Cricetulus griseus: one gene and its partners. The protein of the gene in region 4 interacts with the protein of the main gene of each other region in a pairwise test. Links are inferred from orthologs where the notes say so. Each region holds a gene or a part of one and is shown on either strand. Other genes may lie near its edges.

Region 1 (4,193 bases), about 140 Mb from region 4:
GTCGGTACCAGGCTGGTGAATCCCTCAGAAACAGCTGGCCTGAACAAGGGGGAGCACATGGACCCCAGATGCTGTCTGGGAGGACAGTACAGGACTGATCCAGACCCCTGAACGTGAATGTTAATGAGGAGGCCTAGGCACTCTATGGGGCCCCTGGTAGTGGATCAGTATTTTTCTCTGGTGTAAGAAGGGACTTTGAGAGCCCATCCCACGTGAAGGGATGCTCTGTCTCGGCCTGGACACATAGGGAAGGGCCTAGATCCCGCCCAGGATGATGTGGTGGACTTTGGGGAGCACTCATGGAGAGCCCTACCCTCCCTGGGGAGTGGAGGGGGGAGGGGGGGCTGGTGGGAGGTTGGGGAGGGAGGGAGAGGGAGAAGGGATTGACATGTGAAGCTATATAAATAAAATTTTTTTAAAAAGATATATTTTTAAGTTCTCCTTAAAACACTAAGATCTTGCTATAAGATTCTTAAAATTTTTCAAACAAGATTTACAGATAATTCAATATGATCATACATTATTTCAGAGCAAAACTACTTACTGAAAGGAGTCATAACATCTGCACCCTCTTTTGTAAGAACAGTGATTAGAGTGAGCCTTACAGAAGAGGACCTGTGTCTGAGGGCAAGCCTAGTGTTGAGTATGTTCCCCTCAACATCAGCACAAAGCCGCAAAAGGAGACAGTTTGGACAGGAGGTCTGAGGAGGATCTCTGTAACTGTACAGAGAAAACTAGTTCTGTTGAGAAAAAGTATGTAGTTAAGAAGAGGGAGGAGATGGGAGCATGAGAGGAAGATAAAGACTAACAGGGTGATGACCAGAATACTTTATGTAGATATGAAAATGTCCTAATGAAGCCGTTATTGTGATTTAATTAACTTATGCTAATTAAAAAAGAATATATAGCCGGGCGGTGGTAGCGCATGCACAAGGCGGGAAGTGCGCAGAGGCAGGACGATCTCTGTGTGTTCAAGGCCAGCCTGGTCTACAAAGCGAGTTCTAGGACAGCCAGGGCTACACAGAGAAACCCTGCTTCGAAAAACCAAAACCAAAAAGTAAACCAAACCAACCAACCAAATACATCAAGCTCTATTCACCAAAGCTAGAACCCAAAGATGTCTCCCCCGAAGCACGAGCCACCCGAAAACTGAAGGCAGAAGCACAGACTTCACTGCCATAGCTTTCTCCTGGTGCTTATGTCAGACAGGTGACCTAGGACGGACCCTGACCCAACGCCAGCACTGGCGCCAGCTTCTGCATTGCTCCAATACATTTGCGCTCGGGCGAGCACAGAAGCTCCCATCCGGGGCTCCACGCCAGCCTCGTTGTCATAGTTACCGCCAGAGCCCCGCCCCTTCCTCGCTGTCCGGCCCCGCCCCTCAGAACCCGGAAGCGGGAGGCGCGCCCCAGGGAGCTACGGGATTCAGACCTGGGAGGCGGCGGCCTCTGGCTGCTCAGCCGCGCGCCCCCTCTACCTGCTGCGCCCGCGGAGCCTCTGCTCTGCAGCCGCCCGGCCCACCCGCGCCCTGCCGCCTGCCTCCGCAGCGCCCGAACCGGGCCGAAGAGCCGTTTGGGCTGGAGAGAAAGGGACGCGGGGGTGGCCACGGCAGGTGAGGGGCAGGCCTTGGAAAGCGGAGTGAGGGTGTGTGGTGCGTGTAGGGTTGTAGGTGGGTGTGTATCGAGCATGCGTGACTAGTGAGTGTCGTCCACGGGTGGGCCGGTCCTTGTGACCATGCACGTGATCCATATCCGTGTGTGTTTGTGTCTGTGTCTAAGGCCCAGCCTCGGTTCATTGCGGATGGTCGGTGTGCCTGTGGGTCCACTATTGTGTGGCTATGGCTATAACTAGTGGGACTCAGGGAGGCCCCAATGGGGGTTGGTGCCCAAAACCTTAACCGGACATCTTCATCTTCTTGTACCACCCAACTTGGGGCTGTGCGGCAGAAGCTCAGAAGCATTTGGTTTCAGTAAACTTTTAAGGACTGCGAGTAGAGGCCAGTTCTGGAGATCCTGCCTTAGACCGGGCATGAGGCTTGTTAGAGAGTCATGAGAAACATTGCAGGGCTAGCGAGTGTCTCGTTTTTCTTTTCCCAGGAAGTTAGTTGTTAGGTGCTGATGCAGTTGCTTTGTCTCTATCTGCAATTGTCCAGCTACTCTTCGTGCAAGGATTCTAAGGATTGGGAAGTCCTCTAATACTGTCTGAATTTTTCAAAAGGCATTTACAACAGGATCTTGAGAAGAGGTGTCAGAAGATGTCATGCAGGCAGCATCTCCTGTCATGGCATTTAGAGACAAGTGGATAGGTTCCTGGAGAAAGAGGGATGAATTTTCCCTGAAGAAATCGCCCCCGAAAGATAGCTATTTAATACATATGGGTGTGCTGGGGGTGGGGTGAAGATCTGCAGTAAATAGCCAACTGTGGTTCTTTGGGTGTAGTTTAGTGGCAGAAGCTCATGCTTAGCATTCCCGAGGCCATAGGTTCAGTTCCTGGTACCGATAATCATAGTTGTGTCACCTAGAGGCTTTCAAGGTCTAATGCTTTTTTTATTGGCTGTAATAATCACAGATTATCCCTATGTAAGTCCACTATAGATTGAGATAAAGGACCAGCCATATGTGACCATGTGAGTTAACATTTGTAAAGCTGATTTCCTCAGCTGTAAAGTGCAGGTTCTGCTGAGACTCCACGTGCATGCTCACATCCAGCAACACAAAGTCCAGAAAGGACCAGGTGTCCTCAGCATCCCGGAGGAGGGGTTTCCTTAATCATGATTAAAGCTTATCTCTGGCCCTTTCCTCACCAGCCTGAACAAGTGCTTTTGTTTTTGTAAAGAACTGAATCATGAGAAATCGCATCTGTGCTGAGCTCACCGCTCACATTCTTTTTTCATCCTGACCAGTTTGGTCACAATCTCAGCTAACTTTCTGGGCCATAGACACAATGTTTCTTTTGTGACTTGGAAAAGCATCCGACCTAAGTGGATGAAAGAGAGCTAGAACAAACTTTCCTTTTCATACTGCTACAGCTGCTTTCCCTTTGCAGCTTTTTTTTTCTTCTTCTTCTTCTTCTTCATAGCCGTCAGCTGGTCACATGCAACATTTGGTAACTGTCTCGCCTTTCATTACTGCCGAACTAGCACAAGTGTTAGGCTCACTTGTCTTTACAAACGTGTACTCACAGCTGGGCAAAATCTCTTACCCATCAAGATTAGTTATAACGTGTCCTGTTGCAATACTGAGGTAGTTGTGAATTATACGGAAGGCTTTTGGTAAGGACTACCTTCTACCCATTGCTATGGGAAAGAAGTGGGTGACTCGGGGTCCTTGTGTGCCTGCCTACGTGTTTGTGCTGTGGTTTGGTTTGTGAATTGCACCTGACTCTAAAACTGTGAATAATTTCTACCGTAAATGGGTTGATTCTAGAAGTAAACTTTAACAAATTGATTGAAGTTTTTGTTTGTGTGTCTGTTTTGAAATGAGGTTTCACCTATCACTGTGTAGCCCTTGCTGGCTTGGAACTCACTATGTACACCTTGAACTCAGAGTTCTGTCTTCCTCCTGAGTGCTGGGATTAAAGGTGTGCGCTATCATCTGGTGGTTTCACATATTTTTGATATTCTCTCCTACAGAAATTGTTCTAGAAAATGTCTTTAGTTGGTGTCCTAGTGTAAAGTATTTCAGAATTAACTGCTAGTTGCTTTCATTTAAAAAAAGTAGTAGCTTAAGGGAGACAGAAGAGGTAAATTGACTATATTACATTTTGCATGAAACTATTCAAATAATAAGAATCTCTAAAAGTTGTTAAAGTTATGATATAAAAATAGTTTAAACATCTTAGATACTAAACTTGTTAATATTTAAGATAAATGGATTTTGCAAAGGATTGTGTTCTTTGTTTTAGTGTTAATGACTGAATCTGTGCACGATGGTTTCAATATAAGATTGATGGTAATTTACTTTGTGTTTTAAAACAATTTACAGTTTTAGCGGGGGCGGGGGGGCTCTGCTCTCTGTGAGTTAGAGGCCAGCCTGGTCTACAGAGTGAGTTCTCAGTTGGGGATACACAGTGAAATCCTTTCTCAAAAAAAAAAAAATTACAATTTTAACAACCCTCTCAAAATATTTCCTTTGCTTTGAGATAAGAGACCACTATCCTATCAGCATTGTAATTAGAGTTTTAATATTGGTCTG
Region 2 (3,954 bases), on a different chromosome or scaffold from region 4:
ACCCATTGTTCAGTGCTGTTATCTATCTTCTATCTTCCCCAAAATCTGTTAAATGGAGGCTTTTATGTGATCTCCATGTTATTAATGCTCCTTTTCATCTCTTGGAGCCATCCAGCCTGGAGTTCCACCTCTCCTATGTTTATAGTTACTGATTTAAAATAATTGCTTTTTTTTTTTTTTTTTCTATTCCATTATGCCCTGGTCATCAAGAATTGCTTTCTCAGTGCCTCCTGTCAATAAGCAAACACCTATATCTCCCTTCCAATGGCAAGTACTTCTCCAGCTGCCAGTGGTGGGTATATAGTATAGTACTACCGCTAAAAAGGCAATACACTCTATTAGATAAAAGTCTTCAGATACTTATTACATATTTCAGTATATGGATGATATCCAATTAGCCTCTTATACTAAAGTATATGTCTGTTTTAAAGGATTTACACACTTCAATACAAGTCTCTCTTCATTTGCAGCTTGTCCCAGCAGAGTTCAGCTAGGTGTTCCATGTCTGGTATACATGTCTGGTATATTGTCCATCATCCTTCCCTTGTTGATTACAATGGTCTGTTCCCAAAAAGATAATATTAAATTCTTTTCATTAGCTCTTGGGCAATATCAGTTTGCTTTGGCCTCCCTTGAGAATTCTCAAAGTGGCTTTCCCATCTTTTTGCCTCCCTTACAGATCTTGGACTCATCTCCTTAATTCCTTTTGCTTTACAGTTCCAATGAGTGGCTTGAGCCTGGAAGGAGGACAGCTTAGATTTATGCTCTCTGTTTATCTTGAACACTCCTCTTTCCCTTGCAGCAGGATTCACTCCCTTTTCAGCTATTTTACAATGGTTGTTTCTTCCCAATATACCTAAAACTTTTGTTTTAATCCCAAACCAACAGTGACTCTTATTTACCAGGACAGAACCAGAGTTGTCCAACTTACTGGATAGACTTACTAGACAAGACCCTGATTTGTTGTTGTTTTTCAAGACAGGGTTTCTCTGTATAGCCCTGGCTGTCCTGGAACTCGATCTGTAGACCAGGCTGGCCTTGAACTCACAGAGATTCACCTGCCTCTGCCTCTCAAGTGCTGGGATTAAACTCGTTTGTTTGTTTGTTTGTTTGTTTTCATCCTTCTAGATCTCAGAATAATTTCAACTTCCCTTTGCAAACCTCAGAAGAGTGGCAATTAGCTTTTTGTTTTTGAGAACAAAACTCTTTTCATTCCCTCCTATAAAGACTCTATAGGATTCTGTTACTTCCATGCAGGGCTTTTCTCCAACAAATACACAACCTATTTCCAGGGTTAGGCAAAAGGCAGAGGGCAAGGAGTGGAGGATTCATATGTGGGCTGGCTCTTGGTCAGACTACTCCAGGAGGAAGTTGCTTCGTCTTCCTTCCCTAGTACATTATTGGCATGAGTTAGAGGCTGACAAACCTGAACGGTGGTATTTGGGTTTTGTCCCTACTGCCCTGGGGATAGGCTCCCTGTCTACCTTAGAGTCATGAAGTTAGGGACTATTCGTGCATCTTGAGCTGCTGTGGAGGGTCCATGCTGTGACTACATCACTGGCGGCTGATGAGGGGCGGAGCTTTGTATCAAAGACTGTACTTGTGCTGTGAATTCTGCAGGTGGAGGTCAAGATCCCAAAGGGTGAGCATTCCACTTTGTTCATATATTTACTGAGCATCCATTGTCCCCTGGAGCTAGGGATAAAGCCACAAGTCAAACATGATCCCAGGCCTTGTAGGGCCCTTGATGTACAGGAAAGAGAAGTCAGGAGGATAAGATGCCAGTCTGGACTCTGTATGACCTTGGGTAACAAGTAGCTTCCCTAGAAGCCTCAAGGCCACCTGAGCAGAAATGTAAGTCCAACCTCACCTGTGGGCAGTGCAGGTGCTTTGTAGCTGTAAAGTGCTATGCTGTGGCTTCTTTCCTCACCCTGCTCATGCCTGTTTTTCCTGCAGACTTTCCCGGGAGCTGCAGGACAGGCACCTGGAGCACCCCCAGGTGGCTACTACCCTGGACCTCCCCATGGTGGGGGCCAGTATGGCAGTGGACTTCCCCCTGGCGGTGGTTACGGAGGTCCTGCCCCCGGAGGGCCCTATGGATACCCCAGTGCTGGGGGACTCCCCTCTGGAACTCCCAGCGGACCATATGGTGGTGTACCTCCAGGAGGCCCCTACGGTCAGCCACCTCCAAGTTCCTATGGTGCCCAACAGCCTGGACCTTATGGACAGGGTAAGTAGAACCTTCAGCTCTGGGACCCAGTGTAGAACCTCTGACCTGGTCTAAGCTATCCATGTCCCCTCCTTGTCCTTCCTGAAGATGTGCGTGTGCCCCAGTCTCTGGCACCATAGCCCTTCGCTTCCTGCTTTGCCTATACTGGCCGAATGAGAAGTCCATCAGTTAGCTTTACTGGGCCAACATTCCCAAAGTCCTCTTGGCTTACAACAAGCATTTATTTCTACTGTTTGCTTACTCTCGCTCATGTGTCAGCAACTGTGGGTTGCCAGCTGAGTTTCTGCTCCATGTATCTTTCATTCTGGGACTAGTGCTGAAGGAGCATCCCCTTTGGGGCATGTTGTCCTTAGGGTAGAGGGAAAGAGTAAGAAGCTAGCCGGGCTGGGCGGTAGCTCTGCAGGGTCCACTCAGAAGGACTGATGTCTCATCTACTCATGTTCTTTTGGCCGAAGCACATCCCGTTGTCAAGCTGAACCCCGGCTGGAGATGGTGCTCCTCTCATAGGGTATCTTTGAGCTACCAGGCGGTGGGAGAGGGTGTACAATGCTTGGATCAGGAAGGGGGATCCGAAGATAATTGGAGACAGCAATGTAGTCCATGGGAGAAGAAACTCCGTTCCTGTAGGAGGGTGACTGGCCACATCTGTGGAAAGAAAATATGTCACCAGTGAAAGCTTCTCCAATCAGACCCTGGCCTGCCCAAACTGCCTCTGTAAGCCTCAGTGTCCAGCTCTGTGAAATAGGGACAGTGCCTCACAGGCTGATTAGTAAGGACTAAATGTGAAGCTGCAGCTTAATGCTAGGCATAGCATCTGAACTTAATGGACAGCACTCTGTGAGAGACTTGTAACAGTACAGGAGAATATTGGTGTGAAATGTGATGGTAGCTATGGCAAATAAGAGGATGAAAGAGAAGGGGAAAGAGAGCCGCAGGCTGGAGGGAAGGTATTAGACAAGACAAGGAGGGTTGAGATTGAAGAGCTTTAGCTGGGGTCTCTTAGCAGAGGGCTGGGGAAAGTGGGTGCCAGTCCTTGCTTTTCCCGGGTTCCCTTTAGTCAGCTCCTTCACAGCACTGCTGTTCTCAGGGGCCCAGCACCAGCTAGGCAGCCAGGAACTGCTTTGGCTTATGAGAAGGGCCTCCAGGGAGTGCTGTGCTTAGGAAGCAAACAGCATCTGAATGTACCCAGGCAGGTGGTCCTGGGGGAGATGCCCAAACCTCTGGGGTTCTGCGCCCAGCCAGCCAGTGGCATTTATCTTCTCAGAGCCCAAGCGTCTGGCTGTTGGCTTCCAACTTAGAGGCTCTGCAAATGGATTTCTGTACCCTCCAAAACCTTGTGTCTGAGCTCATAGGAAGTCTGCAGGGAAAGGAGCCCCTGACTCTGAGGGCCTGAAAGTGGCTGTAGTGTGTAGAGCAGGGGAGGAGAGGAGGGGCTCACCTTATGTGCTCAGCCTCCCTCTCATTTGACTGCATTGTTTCCTCTCTAGGGTGGCTAGCAACACCTGGGAGTGGTACTGCATACATCCTGATCTATGCACTTGCCTTAGAGTCCTGGGAAGGTCCACCTCCTGGGTTTGAGTACTAGTATACAACTGTGGGTGACAGAGCTGACCATTGGCGGTGCTCCTCTGTTTGCAGAAAGAGGGCCTCTGGCTGCCGCATTTGCCATCAGCCCTTGCTGTCCATCCAGCAGAGATGCTGTAAATGCATCCTGGGTGTTTCTT
Region 3 (3,500 bases), on a different chromosome or scaffold from region 4:
ATGGAGGCTCAAGAGCCAGAGCTCTGCCTAGTATCCCATCGCAAGCTGCTTCTGAGCTGGGACCTGAGTCCAGGCTTCTCTCCCCTCCTCTGTGGTGCTGGGCTCTGGACTCAGAACCCTTTGTGCTACACACACGGACAGATGAGAGGATATGGCTTGCTGTGGTCGGGTCTGCAGCCAGCAACAGGGTTCAGCCCTTCCTCTCTGGGCTCTACGGAGCTAGATGTGGCCTAGGTGATCTGAGCCTAGGACTCAGATGATGCTTGTCATACACGTGCATCTTCCTCCCCACCCAGGAGCTGTATGCAGCTGGAGAGAACCGCCTAGGAACAGATGAGTCCAAGTTCAATGCGATTCTGTGCTCCCGGAGTCGGGCCCACCTGGTGGCAGGTAAGGTAGTCCCCGGTCAGTTAGATGAGGGCAGACAGGACGTTAGGCGGAGAAAAAGCCTACAGAATATTTGACTGATATCCTCTGCATGGACTTTCATTGAAAGATACTATGGGAAATTTCCTGAAAACTTTGCTTGTAGGACAAAGGAAAAGGTGGGTTGCCATGCACTGAAATAAGGAATGTCAGAGTGGGGAAACCAATGATCCCACAGTCAAAAGCATGGCTGTCCTCTGCCTTCTACACACATGGCATGCACCTTTCCTCTCCAGTAACAACAAATAAAAATAAAACGAAAGGAGGAAAGGAGAAAACTTCATTCCAGCACTGCTGGGTAGCATTTACTTAGCTTATTGAACCCATAAAAGTGAGTTTCTGTCTATTGGGTGGTGGAGAGGTGTAGTCTGTCTTCGTGGATTCAGCTTCATGTCAGAAGACAAATATTCAGTATAGCTCGGAGCTGGTAGCAAATATGTAGAGAAAAAGAATGGACTGAAAATGCTTAGAAGGTGAAGGAATAGAGTTGGGGGAGGGGCTGGGGCCATCCTCTGGTAAAAGGGTGTGCGATTGAAACCCTGAGGGAGACAGGTGTGTCTGGAACAGATAGAGTGACGTAGCAGGAGGTGGGGTCAGAGGTGATGGACAGCTCTCATGCCCCAGCACCTCTAACCCAGGCCCACAGGAGCGGAGAGGTATCCCCTCAGGCTCTGGATTGGCATGAGGCCAATGTGTAGGTTGTCTGACTTTGGGCCTGAGCCCTGTCCCCAGGGCATGCTTTTTAACCTGACTGCTGTGGTGGAGTGTGGGGGAACACGGACTCATCAACATGTATTCATTGACTATTTTATTGTTTGAGAATTTCATATATGTATATAATATGTTTTGATCAAATTGACTCCCACCCTCTCCCCTATCCACGCTCCACTTTTTATTCCCAACTTTATGTTTCTTTTTTGTTTGTTTTTGACACAGAGTCTTTCTAGGTAACCCTGACTGGCCTGAAACTGTCTATGTAGACCAGGCTGGCCTCAAACTCATAGACACCTGCCTGCCTCTGCTTTCTGAGAACTGGGATTAAAGCATGTGCTACCATGCCCAACTATGTTGTGCTGTCTGTCTGTCTGTCTGTCTGTCTGTCTGTCTGTCTGTCTGTCTCTCTCTCTCTCTCTCTCTCTCTCTCTCTCTCTCTCTCTCTCTCCTGTACCACTGAATCCACTTACTGTCACCAGTACATTATTATGTACATTGATAGAGTAGGGGCCACGTTCTTTAAACTGACTCTCGCACTCATCAGTGAGCTCTGGCATTGCTCCTTCTTGTAGGAGCCAGCAGCTTGTTCCATGGCACTCATCAGTGTCTAGGTTTATAATGAATGGTTTTTAGCACGGCAGAACAATGTGGCTTGCGTCTGAGTGGGTCACGGTTCACAGTGGGGTAGGGTAGGGTAAGCCTGCTGCATGAAATAAGAGGGGCCCAGGCTGGGAATGTGGAGGTTTGAGGAGGAGAGCAGAGTGTGGGTCAAGACGGGTAAGCAAACGGACTGCCCTGGTGCAGGGATCCTCTGACTGAAGGCCACAAGGCTGACAGCAGAGGCTGTGGCTTCCTGTGAGCTTCCATAGAGCACTCAGGCTGTCCAGGGCAGCGTGAAAGGGAGGCGGGACTCTTGTCCAGTGTGTCTCCTCAGCTTTGCTCTCCTGATGGTACTATGGGCTGGGCTTAAGCAACAGGAATGTGTTAGTTTTGGACACGAGAAAGCTTGTCAAGATTGGTTTCTTCTGAGGCTTCTCTCTGGATGAGTCTCCTTGTTCCTGTGTCCCTGTGTGATCTCTTCCTACATAGATGTTCCTCAGTTTGATGACATACTGTGCAACCCATGTGAAAATGTATCAGTCAAGAAATACACTTTAAAGCCAGGTGTTGGCGGCGCATGCCTTTAATCCCCCAGCACTCGGGAGGCAGAGGCAGGTGATCTCTGTGAGTTTGAAGCCAGCCGGGTCTACAGAGCAAGTGCCAGGATAGGCTCCAAAGCTACACATAGAAACCCTGTCTCGAAACAGCCCCTCTTCACCCCCCCCCAAGAAATGCACTTAAAACTAGGTAGTGATACACATCTGTAATTCTAGCTACTTAGGATGCTGAGACAGAGAGATCCCTTGAAGCCAGTGTTATATGATTTGGCTCCATCACACACAAAAAGCAAAAATGCATGTATTATGCCTAATGTAGTGAAAAACTGTAGTCCAGCCCAGTGTGACCTAAATAAACTCAAGACACATTGGTATACAGCAGGGTGGAGACCTCTACCACAGATCCTTTTAGTTATAGTGCTGAGTACTTGGTGGGACTTGGAGAGAGCTGTGGTTGTGTGTGAAAAGTAAAGGCAAAAAGACCCTAAGTCAACCACCTCAAGCTGGGATTTGTGGATCCACACAGAAACCTGACCTTGGTTGTGGGTGCTACTGGTTAGCTTGGCTCAGGGCCTACAATCATGGCATTGTTTTAATACGTATTCTAAGGTGCTGAGGTCAGGACTGCAGCATGGAAATTTTGAGAGAATGTGATTCAGACCGTGACATGTCCCTTCTACTTTCCTGCTAGTTTTCAACGATTACCAGAGGATGACTGGCCGAGATATCGAGAAGAGCATCTGCCGGGAGATGTCTGGGGACCTGGAGCAGGGCATGCTGGCTGTGGGTAGGCGTCTGGAGCTTGGCTTGCCTGCCTGCCCACCCACGGGGCAGTATGGGTTGCAGGCTGGGTGCTCAGTGTCCTGCGGTTGAAGGTGATGTAGTGAGAGAACCACAGAATCTGAGTTTGCTAATCTGGACCATCTGGCTGGTGGGAAACCGTGAGTCCCCAGCCTCTGGGACAGAGGGGTCTTGTGTTTGCAGTGCAGCTCTGCAGAATGGAGCTACAGTGTGGGCATTAGTGGGGGCCTGTCCAGCTGCTCTCCTGGAGGAAGGTGACTCACATCCTGCCAAGTTTCCTCTAAAAATACATCCCTGCAGGCGGTTGTCAGCTGCCTGTGATGGAAACACACGGAAAGATTTTTTTACTTGCAACAGCAAAACAGTGTCCATTCTAGGGAATGTGGGCAGAGCTTCCTGCAG
Region 4 (4,184 bases):
TTACTCAGTATGTCTTACATCTTTATAATCTTAAATTCTAAACACCAAGTCCTTTAACAATCCAAACTACCACCATAAAGTGCATATTTAGGATCAAATAATGGATTAACATCTTTTTCTCAAGGCCAAGTAATTCCTGAACATGCTTATCTATTGGCACAGAATGTTCGTCCCATCAGCCCTTTCATCTGTTCCAAGTAAATGACCACTGAGAGCCATTTAAGCTGTCCTAAAGCTCCCACTGGCCATTTTGCTTTCAATCTTGAACTTTCAGTACTGGCAGCTTTCTCTTTCCTTCTCTAAATCTTACTGAATTGCCACCATTGAACTTCTCTTGCAGTCATTCTGCTGTGCCTTTTAATTGGAAAAGTCCTCACCCACCAAATCACCAAACTATTCAACTTGGGAAGCTTTTAATCAATCCTAACTTATGTCATGATTATTAACTATAAATCTCCCAATACTCCTCACATAAATACTTCAGTTTTTCCCTCCAACTGTCCCTTAAATGAATATACCCCTTCACCATCCTGTGAGATTACATTTTTACTAGTAACTCTTTAATGAAATGGGGCAGTAAACCCAAAGACAACACTACAAGGTCAAGGTAGAACAAAGCGAACTATGTTCCACAGTTTGGATGCCAGGCTTATCTTAATACAAAGAGCACAGTTTTTATCAGTCTCACAATGGACTTCTCATAAGGACTGTGATGACCTGAAACCTCTATAGAACCAACTCTTCACTTGTTGTCCTCTGCCTTTAAGAAATATTTACAGAACACCTACTATAGTCCAGGTTCTAAAGTACAGTAACTCTAACAGGATTGTAAATAACCCATGCTTTCACTGACAGCTCTAAAGGAAAGATCTTTCAATAAACCTGTATGTATTGCCTTCTATCTATAGGCCATACAAACCAGCAATATATTGAATAAGGACCAGTGCTTAGTTTTAGTAAAACACTATTATATATTCCCTAAAGCACCTAAAACAGTACCTGACATACAAAAGCCACTTGAGGAGCTTTAAGTCCTACACAAAGGCCCAATGAGCAAAGGCACTTGGAGAAGAAAGCTGGAACATATGTCAATTCCAGATGGTTTGGCCACCTTCTTTATGTGGTCAAGGGGGCCACCTCATATCAAGATATACTCCCAGGCAAGACAAAGTCCCAGCACAAATACACTTGGTAATATGCCCTCTGATGGGCATTGAACTCCAACGGATCTAAAAACTAACATTACATATCCTTAACATCTGCTGTTCATGACCCCAACTCACTTCTGGTGTTTCCTATTGACCGTGAGTTCCCTGCAGTCTTTGCAAAAAGCTGTCCCCCACTGGTGTAGTGATCTCAAGTACACACACAAGCTTCAGTTATTTCCTGTACCACGAGAAAAACCTCATCCACACAGGTGTCAACTCCAGTCCAGTTTTTCTCTAACAAGGTAGAGATTAACATGAATTAGTTCCTAGAACTGCTCGTGAGATCCCTACGACATTTTCTGACCTATCTTGTTGCTGTCTTACTACTTCTGAAGTCCAGAAGTAACTCAACCAGGAATGTGCCCTCCATCCGGTAAATTTTCTGATTCCTGGGATAAACTGATGTGCCCAAAGACATAAAGCCTGGCCCCTGCACTAGGAAGTACATTCACCAGTCAAGCCTCAGACTCCTCTTGCTCGCCCAAAACTCACAAGCTTCTATTACACACACCCTCTAAGCAGTTTCCTTAAAAATAAAAAGAAAACGTGATTATTCTAAAACTGCCAAGAGGCCTCAAAATCTGTGTGGCATGCCTGCAGCAAGAATGGTAACCATTTTCACCCGTAGCTATGTGACGTTCTTCAAAGTGTATTTTCTTCACATGAAAAAGGAGTGTAATGGCTAAATCTGCATACTTTGAGATCATTCTTCCTACAGAGCCCAGCGACAAAACTTAACAGAAGTTCCGAATTGTCATCAGTAAAACTGGGCAAGGCCTCAAGGGGACACTAGGCATGACAGTGTAGAACCGACTGGGGCTCCTTTTTGTGTGTGTGTGTGACCCTAATCTATTTATTCCCCTGGGGTCCACGCCCCGCCATCCAAAACAATCTAGAGGTTAGGCAGCAAACACCCCGGCCTCCTCAAGCCCCATCTCTCTTCCTTGAATGATTCACTCGACTCTCTCCACTTGCCAAGCCGTTCTGGAGGGTGAGGCACCAAACGCCCCCGGCCTCCTCAATCCCCTATCTCTAATCCTGTAATTCAAACCCCTTGGGGGTCCCGAGGGACCAGGAACGGGGTATCAGGGGGCCCAAACTCCCGCCAGGCCGGACCGGGCCGGGCGCCCTCCCCTCCCCCTCCCGGCTGCCCCTCCTCCGCCCCCGGGGCCGCTCGCCGGCCTCCCCGGGCCCGCACCCTTCCCACGGTCCCGGCCCCACCCGCCCGGGCCGGGAGGTTCCAGAAGGCCTCCGGCGCTCTCGGGTTCCCCGGCCTCCTCAGAGAGCGGCCGCACGCGGGGCTCCGGCGGCCGTACCGCTTGCCGAGGCGCTGCGTCCGCCGACCCCCCGCGCGTGGCCGCCGCGGGCTCCGCAGTGTCGCAGGGGAGCTTCGGACCCCGCTCGCTCGGCCGCCCGCCCTCCGCCGAGCCTCGCCGAGCAGGGAGGCGCGCAGGCCCGGCCAATCGCACACACCCGACAAGCCTAGCGAGAGCCGCGGTCCCGTACGTGGCAGGTGGGAAGAGCAGGGGCGGGAGCGGAGGGGGGGAAAAAAAAATAGCCACCCCTGGCCTCTCGCCCCGCCTCTGAGCGAACGGGCCAGCCCAGCGCGCATGCGCCGTGTGGGGCGGGCGCGGCGCCGGACGGGCCTTAAAAGACCCGGCTGCGTCGGGTGAGCGGCCCCGCCTCCTCACTGGACGGACGACCGGGTGTAGGAAGTGCGAGCCGAGGCGGGCACGCATGCGCGGGGAGTCAGCAGCACTTCCGGCTTCTCTGACAGTAGGCGTTGCCTCCCCCTCCCCCCGGTGGGCGGGGCGCAGTCCGCAGGGCTGGGCTCGTCCTCCGAGCCTGGTTGGAAATCGGCATCTGTCTAGAAACGGTTTGGCTCTTGTTGTTGATTTGTGGCCGTCGTGGTCGGCGAAGTCAGTCACACCTCGAGGAAACGAGCCCCTTTCCCGCCCGGTTTCTACAAATCCATTCATTCGTTCATTCATTCACGAGTGGGCGCCTACGCTTTGCCAGAAGGAGTGCTAGGGCTGGCGATGAGTCAGTCCGCCAGCTAGGAGGTACCCTGGGAAGGCCACAGCGTTCAGAGGGCACAGCTACGGGTGAAAGGGACAAAGAGTGGAAGTTAAACCCAAGGATTCAACAGGGTCTGGGGGGAACATACCCGACAAGCGCTGACGTTCATTTTTGCCTAACGTGTTTGCTTTGGATGGACCAGCCTCAAACTGATTGATCCCTGCCTGGAGTTTGTAGAGTGTAAACAGCATACCGTGACTATAAGAATATAATTTGAGTAATACTTTTTAATCTAGATGAAACACAAAGATCTCATGACCAGAATAAACTGGAAAGAAGTGGGCTGTAAATTTAATAGCTGGCCCGGAAAGGATTTTAGCTCTCTGCTTTAGCACTGCTGCATTTGTGTTTTAAGGACAATATACTCATACATTACTTAACTGGGGGTAATATTTTGTTAAGAATAATTTCAGCCCACCTTTACACAGTCACCGACTTTAGTGGTGGTAGGAGATTCGGAGTTTGCCTTGTCTTGCTTATTCCTTTACAGCCTCTTGCACTCTTATCTCAAATCATGTAACTTGTAACTGAGATCCAAACTCATAGTCTAGAAGAACACCTCCCTTCTCTGTTGCTGCCTAGTGAGTACTTGGGGGGTCATCTTTGTTTATTATCACCAAGGTCTAGAAAGTCTCAATTATTATGTTACAGTTTCATGGTAACTCATATCAAAGTCCAACAAATTGTAAAGATCCTACTTCCACCTGTAGCAAAGCTCCACTATGTAGACTGGAACTATACCATAGGTCTCTGAGAATATCTTGTAAGAAACAGCAGCATTGGATCATGCCACCCTGCTCTGCCACACACACACACACACACACACACACACACACACACACACACACACACACTCCCCGTCTCCATCTAAGAGCTGGTATGCAGAAACATGTTCAA
Region 5 (3,500 bases), on a different chromosome or scaffold from region 4:
GCTAAAATTGAAGATTCCTGAGTTCTTTATTCTCTCAGTCCCTGTCACTGGGATGACAGTATTAATCTGTGGTTCCCATGCCAATGCAACATACCTACAGTGGCGATACTTAAAAAGTAAAAATGTTACTATAGGCTTAGACATATAGTTCAGTGGTTTAAAAAAAAAGACTTGCTGACCCTAGGTTCAATATGCAGAACTGGAAAATAAGATTTAATGTACCATTCTAAGAAAGTGCTAATAATTAATGCATTTATTTAGGTATGGTTTCATCACTTTTGAAACTCAAGAAGATGCTCAAAAAATCTTACAAGAGGTAAGATCTTTCAGTGTATTTAACTTCTGTTTTGGAATTTCTTTCTTTGAAATTAATGTTATGATAGTAAAATAGTAGAGTACAAGCCAGTGATCTACATACATACATACGTACATACATATGTACGTATGTATGTATATATACATATTTGTGTTTGAATGTATCTTAAGATTGCCATTGGCCTCTAAGAAACAGTCTAAAGACCAATACATTCCAAGTCATGACATCAGGATGATTGTTAAGTTCTAAGTATTTTGTTTGCTTAAACTAGTGATTTAAGAATGTATCTCTGTATAAATGGTTTTTTTTTTGGTAATTCCATAGAAACATTACAAAGAATTACTAGAATAAGCCTATCTGATATTATTTCCTTCCTATGAAAAACTACATAAACCAGTAACATTGTTTAGTAAAATGTCTGTAGCCTGTAGTTCATTTTGATATCTTTTAACTTATGGCAAGTATAATATATAACCTTTTTTTAAAAGGTAGTTTAATTATGTATTATTAAGATCATACACAGTCAGTTCTTATCCATAATAGTTTTTATTCTGTAAAGTTAACATAAAACTGAATTAGTGAGTACTGAACTTCTGGTGTTCCTAATTGAAATACAAGCTAAGATTCAAAAAAACCTCTAGTAAGAATATTGCCACCAGTAAATCAGCAGATAACTTAGTTTCATGTGTTGCTATTTAAAGAAATTGTGTTAGCAAAACTTTTTATTGCTTGTCACAAAGATCTGAAAGAGACTGTTTAAAAGATGGAAAGATTATTTCAGCTCATGCTCTCACAGGTCTCAGCTCATAGCTAGCTGGTTCTGTTGCTGTGGGCCTTAGGCAAGTTAGGACGTTATGATAATGAATGGCCAGGAAGCAGAGACTGAGGAAGAGATCTATGATGAGTATAATTCTCAAGAATATGCGTACCATGACTTGCTGCCTCCAACTAAACCTTACCCTTAAAAGTTCCATCAGCTCCCAATAATGCTCTAAGATGATTAACCTAGCAGTATTCTGTTAAATTCAATCCCTTATCATCTGATCACCTCCTATGAGTGGATCTATTAGCTGAGACAAAGCATTCCACACATGAACTATTTTGGGAAGGGGTGGACACTTCATATTCAAGCCATAATAAACAACATAACAGTTGTTAGTCACTGACATTGGATTCATGGCCAGTAGGACTATAATACCTGAATTAAGCATGACAATCCATTTTCTCCATAAAATATATGACAAGCTTCTTGTGGTTAGGAACATTAGCTAGTTTTGCAGCACCTGTGAGGCATTTTAATTTTTAAAAAATAGCACATACTGTGAAAAACATATCTAAAAAGGACATTTGGTTATAATAGGATAGCTAGAACAAAAAAAAATCTTTTGTGTTGGACTATTCAAATTTTCTGTACATGTCTGCAAATGACCATGAAATTACTACAGATAGTGGTTGAAATTGCAAATAAATTTTAGAGAATACCTGAGTTGCAAATACATAATCAGTAACTAATGATGATGATTACAACATCATCTAGATTCATAGCAGTAGAACCAAGATAAAGACAGTTACTTGAATCCAGACCACCTTTTGAGACTGGGGATATAACTCAGCAGGTAGCATACTTATTCCCAATACTACATAAACTAAGCAATGAGGCACATGCCTGTAATCGCAGCACTTGAGAGGTAGAGGTAAAAGGATTAGAAGTTCAAAATTGTCTGATAATATATCAGATTTTAGCACAGCCTGGGATTCATGAGACCTTGAATTTAAAAAAAAAAAAAGAAGAAGAAGAAAAAACTGTCGAACAATGTCTGCTAGTTTCATGCTGGTTTTTCTTCACTAATCTTATAAATCATGGTATCAGAGTTTACAAATCATGGTGTCAAATGATTTTACAAATCATGGTGATGGGCTTTTTCCTTTATTTTAGGCCGAAAAACTTAATTATAAGGATAAGAAACTGAACATTGGTCCAGCAATAAGAAAACAACAAGTAGGGATTCCTCGTATGTATTGAGAGCTAATGTATTTTTTTAATATTTTGCATGGTCCTTTTATGAAATATTAGACTATTGTACAGCTTTTATTAAAATATCCTGTTTTTTATGTAATAGTTCTTAGCAAAGTTGGTAGTCATATAATTATTTTTAACAAATTAAAATATATCAGTTTGAGGTATAGGGGAAATATACATGAACAATATTAAGTATATTCTGTATAACTACAGTTTAAAGGAAAAATAAATAATTTTTTTGGTTTTTCGAGACAGGGTTTCTCTGTGTAGCTTTGGAGCCTATCCTGGCACTCGCTCTGGAGACCAGGCTGGCCTCGAACTCACAGAGATCTGCCTGCCTCTGCCTCCCGAGTGCTGGGTTAAAGGCATGCACCACCAACGCCTGGCAGGAAAAATAACTTTTTTTTGAAAAATAACTTTTTAATTAGCACAAAAAGTACTGTGTTTCATCTTTTTATTGAAAATTCACACAGTACATTCTGATCATGGTTTACCCTCCCCCAGATCCTCCCCACCAACCCAATACTACCCTTATTTCTTTCTCTTTAGAAAACAAACAGGTAAATAAAAAGAAGTGAAAAAGCCCAAGAAACAAAAAAATCCATTAAAACAGACTCCAAAACCATAATATACAAGTTAAAAAAAAAAGATGAGTAAGATTTTTTTAAATGCCCAAATGGAGCAATATGAGGCCAAAAGAAATCTACAAAAATACTGTTGGATTCATTTTGTGTTAGCTATCTACTACTGGGCATGGACCTGCTCTTTAGTGTGGTTTATATACCCAGTGAACTCGATTGGAGTTTTCCTTTATAAGCAGTTGTCAACTGCAGATAGCTTCTTGGCTAGAGAAGGGAGCTCATGTCCACTTCCTCACCTCAATGCTGGGACCCCATCTGGCTTGAACCTGCGCAGGCCCTATGCATAGCACTGTCTCTGTGAACTTATATGTGGGTCATTCCTGTTGTGTCTAGCACTGTGTCCTAGGTGTCAATTCATCCCACTTGACTCTTTGAATTGTTCACCTCTTCTTCATAGCTCCCTGAGCCCTGATGGCAGGGGACAGAGAGTTGATGATGACATCTCATTTGAGATGTTCCAAAAGTGTTTCCAAAGTATGTCACTCTCTGTACATTGACCTGTTGTTGGCCTCCGTGTTAGTTC
Region 6 (4,274 bases), on a different chromosome or scaffold from region 4:
TGTTTCTGCATCTTCTTGCAGTCATACTGTTTCGCTAGTCATCCAGCAACCAAAACCACTCCACTCCGTTTCCAAGCCTCCTCACTCACAAGGGGTAAAGCTGAGCAAAATTTTCTAGGCCTACTAGAAGAGCTGCCCCGCTATTACTTAAGAAAAATCACAGATAAAAAAAGAATGTATGGCTGCACCAAATGTTGTCACAAAACTACTTCATTAACTACGTTTCCCAAATTGCATGGCCAGAGAACCACCAGAGGCACTCATAGAAAAAATAATTCTCTCATTCCTTGTGTAAAATCTCACCCTATATGTAGATTGGAGTAGAGGTCCAAGAACCCCTATTTTTAGTTAAGTACCCCAACTAAATCTTTTGTCTGTATGAATTTTGAAACGTTAGGTGAGAAATCTACTTAGCCATACATTCATTTAGTGAAAATTCACTACATTGAACTGTGATGCACCAAAATTGTCAATCTGTGCCTTTTACAGAGCTGTAAATATCAAGCTCCAAACAATTCTATTATATAAAAGATCCTATAGGTCACATAGTGATTGGAAATTCAATCGGTGATACTTGCCAACTTTCCTCTTTACCAGAGTTACTCGAGACATGTTCCTCTGTGTGTGTGCGTGTTGTGTGTTCTATTCCTCATTTTTAAAGCACAGACTCTTCTGATACAGGATGTATGTTTTTCTGGGGATTTAATGCATGGTTTGTAAGCACTCTACCGATGGGCCACATACCCAGCTCATGGAATTGGCATTTTTAAACCCATGCCTCCAAGTCTGTGCCTATTTTACTACATTGGACTTACTTTGCCAGGTAGGTTTTCTCGGACGGCAGGGCTATTAACTCCTTTCCTTGTTCTTTTAATCTGATTTCCCTCAGGATAACCCACCCTGCATTTCCTCCAACTCCAGTGGCAGGCTAACTGTTCTGGTACTAACCCAGGAGGTGTGCACAACCACAGCCAAGGGCATTTTCCATGGCTTCCAAAACTTCCCCTGCTCATGTCCAGTGCCACACTGCCCCTAGGCTTTCTTACTAGTGCTGGTACTAGACTTTGAGAGTCCTCTCATTCCCCAGCCTCTCTCAGCTCTCCCTCAGTACAGGGAAGCGTCAACAAAGTAATAGGATGTATGCTACTGGGGACGGCCCCCACATTTCTAGTAGGACAGAACGAAGATGACAGTGCCAGAGCTGTTAGCAAATGACTTCCCTGTTGCCAGGGTAAATCTGCGGCAGCCATCTGTAGCGCTGCTTACAAACGTTTGGATGTGCACCAGTGAAAATGACGGAGGAGGAGGACCGCAAACGCAGAGACTTCAAATTAGCATAGCTCGGCCCCCTGCGGGCAACCCACGCCCCTTTTCTCGGGCCGTAGGTCTTCCCGCAGACTGTTGCCCCACCCCCGAACAAAACCCTAGGCGGGAACCCACAACGTGACGCGCGGAACGAGATCCGTGGCGGCTCTGTCCAGGTGCTTCCGGCTCCCACCGGACGGAGGCGCGCTCGGCCCTGGCCTCACTCTGCCACGGAAGTGTGTTTTAGGCGCACCGGAAGCCACCTCAGGGGTAGCCATGGCGGGTTTGCCTGTTAGAGACCCTGCGGTGGATCGTTCTCTGCGTTCTGTGTTCGGTGAGAGGAATTTAGTGGCGCCTCCAGTCAGGGAGGGATGTCCCCTGCGGTCCCCAGCTGGAGCGGGTGTCGGGGCGGGCGTGCGATTTCCCCGCTGTCCTTTGACGCGGCAGCCTGGTGTACTCGTGGGCAAACAGAGCCCCCCCCCCCAACTTGGGCTCCAAGGTATTGGAGGTTTTCCGCAGTGTGGTTCAGGGAGCTAGACCCTAGCGTTTGTCGTCTCTGTTTTCCCCTTCATGATTCTCAGTTATTTTTTAGGAGAAAAGGTGCGTGGAAACAGAGCGCCCCTGTTCCGTGCTGCTTCTCCTAGCCCAAAATACAGATTTAATTTTGAAGCCATCGACCCTATATCCACTTCCTGCCCTCTCATAAACGCCTAATATCGCTTGCTTTTTACTTGTAACGTTTCATCCAACCATAGTGGTAGCGGCCACCTGGGCACCTTGAGGTGGGTTGCGAATGAATGAATGAATGATTGATTGATGAAAGCTCAGGGAGATTCTAGAGAAGCGAAACTAAACAGTTCTTAGGAATTAAATGAGTTAATTTTTTTTTTTTCGAGACAGGGTTTCTCTGTGTGGCTTTGGAGGCTGTCCTGGAACTCACTCTGGAGACCAGGTTGGTCTCGAGCTCACAGAGATCCTCCTGTCCCTGCTTCCAGAGTGCTGGCATTAAAGGCGTGTGCCACGTGTATTGCTGTTTTTTTTTTTCCTTGGGGGCAGGGGTTGGTTTTTTTTCTGGCTCCCAAGGGCTGGGATTAAAAACGTGCGCTTTTAGTAGGGCGTTGGTGGCGCACGCCTTTAATCCTAGCAATAGGGAGGCAGAGGCAGGCGGATCTCTGTGAGTTCGAGACCAGCCTGGTCTACAAGAGCTAGCTCCAGGACAGCCTCCAAAAGCCACAGAGAAACACTGTCTCGAAAAACCAAAAAATAAAAACGTGTGCTTTTGCCGGGCGTTGGTGGCACATGTCTTTAATCCCAGCACACGGGAGGCAGAGGTAGGAGGATCTCTGAGTTTGAGACCAGTTCGGTCTACAAGAGCTAGTTCCAGGACAGCCTCTAAAGCCCTAGAAACCCTGTCTCCAAAAACCAAAAAAAACAAAAACAAAAAAACAAAAACAAAACTTAAGCTTTTGGGGGGAGGGGTGGTGGTTTTGTTTTGTTGGTTGCTTTTTTTCTGCCTAAGTGCTGGGATTAAAGGCATGCGCTTTTTTTGTTGTTGGTTTTTTCTGCCTCCCAAGTGCTGGGGTTAAAGGCGTGCACTTTTGGGGGGGGGTGGTTTTTTTTTCTTTGTTTTTGGTTTTTTTTTTTTCTGCCTCCTGAGTGCACGTTTAAAAGCACGTTTTGGGGCAGTACAATTGCCTCAAATTCAACGCCAGCCTAGGTTACATAACAAGGCCGGCCACACTATATAATAAGACTTAAAACAAAAAGAACAAGAAGCACTGTTTGAAAGAAACATGACAAAACAGTTGAGAATGATTTTTAACCCCCCTCCACTATATTCCTGGCTATTCCCTCCATAAGCATGTGTATACATGGAAATACAGACATGAACCCACCCTCTTTATGTTTTTAGTAGTCACTGGTCAAACACAGGGTTATGAGTAAATACCAGTGCTTAAACATATATTTTCATCAAAGTAAGGGAAAACATCCTATTTGTCATATCCATATGAGAACTGTTTGAAAGACTTCTTTTTTTATTTTGCCTCTGGGTCTGTTGTGGGGTCTGAAAAGGTACAGTGGAAGCGTTTTGGAGAACACTGTTCAGTCAACTTGTTACCTATTTATTGATAAAAATAGAAAGCCTACTGTTTACTTGCTTACTGAAGAGCTCCATTACTGCACCAGCATTTTAATGTATTATCTGTTCCTTAGTGGGAAACATTCCGTATGAAGCTACTGAAGAACAACTGAAGGACATCTTCTCTGAGGTTGGGCCTGTTGTTAGTTTCAGGTGAGAACTTTTAAGATCTTCATGGGAGATTCTTTAAAAACCACAGATTTTGAGATAAATGTACATGCTTTATAATTCATATCCAGTCTTACTTGGAAAATTTCTTTCATTAAAAATGTTTCAAAAACATAAAAGCAGAAATAGAAGAGTGTCTTTTTGGGGGGATTTGGAGACAGGGTTCCTCTGTGTAACAGGCTTGGCTGTCCTGAAACTCAGTGTATAGCCAGACTGACCTTGAACCACAGAAATCTGCCTGCCTCTGCCTCCTGAGCATTGGGATTAAAGGCATGCACCACCATGCCTGGCTTAGAAGGGTATCTTACTGTGGTCTAAATTAGAACATGCCAATGTTAGCAAGAAGCCTGTGTGTGTGTGTGTGTGTGTGTGTGTGTGTGTGTGTAGCATTTGTTTCTGATACTTGGTTTTGCTCTTCAGATTGGTATATGATAGGGAGACAGGAAAACCAAAAGGTTATGGCTTCTGTGAATACCAAGACCAAGAAACAGCACTTAGTGCCATGCGGAACTTGAATGGGCGTGAATTCAGTGGACGAGCACTTCGAGTGGATAATGCTGCCAGTGAAAAGAACAAAGAAGAACTGAAAAGTGAGTATAAATGCAAGCCATATATATTACAAGTTAATGAAGATGAGAAGATGATCCAAGTTGTTCATTTG

The links.
Region 1: the proteins of Tfg (region 4) and Spg21 interact in binary tests that used the Homo sapiens proteins (3 or more experiments, as listed by UniProt). The two-hybrid records come from large-scale screens. The link is inferred for Cricetulus griseus from reciprocal best matches to the Homo sapiens genes TFG and SPG21.
Region 2: the proteins of Tfg (region 4) and Pef1 interact in binary tests that used the Homo sapiens proteins (3 or more experiments, as listed by UniProt). The two-hybrid records come from large-scale screens. The link is inferred for Cricetulus griseus from reciprocal best matches to the Homo sapiens genes TFG and PEF1.
Region 3: the proteins of Tfg (region 4) and Anxa11 interact in binary tests that used the Homo sapiens proteins (3 or more experiments, as listed by UniProt). The two-hybrid records come from large-scale screens. The link is inferred for Cricetulus griseus from reciprocal best matches to the Homo sapiens genes TFG and ANXA11.
Region 5: the proteins of Tfg (region 4) and protein boule-like interact in binary tests that used the Homo sapiens proteins (3 or more experiments, as listed by UniProt). The two-hybrid records come from large-scale screens. The link is inferred for Cricetulus griseus from reciprocal best matches to the Homo sapiens genes TFG and BOLL.
Region 6: the proteins of Tfg (region 4) and Cstf2 interact in binary tests that used the Homo sapiens proteins (3 or more experiments, as listed by UniProt). The two-hybrid records come from large-scale screens. The link is inferred for Cricetulus griseus from reciprocal best matches to the Homo sapiens genes TFG and CSTF2.

Annotation. Positions count from the first base shown.
Region 1 is NC_048597.1:177,058,224-177,062,416, forward strand, and holds the start of Spg21 (maspardin), read left to right. Parts: upstream 1-1,393; 5' UTR 1,394-1,612; intron 1,613-4,193. UniProt on the Homo sapiens protein: May play a role as a negative regulatory factor in CD4-dependent T-cell activation.
Region 2 is NC_048595.1:22,916,450-22,920,403, reverse strand, and holds the start of Pef1 (peflin), read left to right. Parts: upstream 1-1,154; 5' UTR 1,155-1,567; coding exon 1,568-1,642; intron 1,643-1,956; coding exon 1,957-2,230; intron 2,231-3,954. UniProt on the Homo sapiens protein: Calcium-binding protein that acts as an adapter that bridges unrelated proteins or stabilizes weak protein-protein complexes in response to calcium.
Region 3 is NW_023276807.1:193,940,628-193,944,127, reverse strand, and holds part of Anxa11 (annexin A11), read left to right. Parts: intron 1-296; coding exon 297-390; intron 391-2,988; coding exon 2,989-3,084; intron 3,085-3,500. UniProt on the Homo sapiens protein: Binds specifically to calcyclin in a calcium-dependent manner. Required for midbody formation and completion of the terminal phase of cytokinesis.
Region 4 is NC_048597.1:35,437,227-35,441,410, reverse strand, and holds the start of Tfg (protein TFG), read right to left. Parts: upstream 2,801-4,184; 5' UTR 2,682-2,800; intron 2,219-2,681; exon of another isoform or gene 1,284-2,218; intron 1-1,283. UniProt on the Homo sapiens protein: Plays a role in the normal dynamic function of the endoplasmic reticulum (ER) and its associated microtubules. Required for secretory cargo traffic from the endoplasmic reticulum to the Golgi apparatus.
Region 5 is NC_048595.1:409,749,596-409,753,095, reverse strand, and holds part of protein boule-like, read left to right. Parts: intron 1-261; coding exon 262-316; intron 317-2,252; coding exon 2,253-2,328; intron 2,329-3,500. UniProt on the Homo sapiens protein: Probable RNA-binding protein, which may be required during spermatogenesis. May act by binding to the 3'-UTR of mRNAs and regulating their translation.
Region 6 is NC_048604.1:46,068,565-46,072,838, reverse strand, and holds the start of Cstf2 (cleavage stimulation factor subunit 2), read left to right. Parts: upstream 1-1,474; 5' UTR 1,475-1,581; coding exon 1,582-1,639; intron 1,640-3,519; coding exon 3,520-3,598; intron 3,599-4,033; coding exon 4,034-4,203; intron 4,204-4,274. UniProt on the Homo sapiens protein: One of the multiple factors required for polyadenylation and 3'-end cleavage of mammalian pre-mRNAs. This subunit is directly involved in the binding to pre-mRNAs.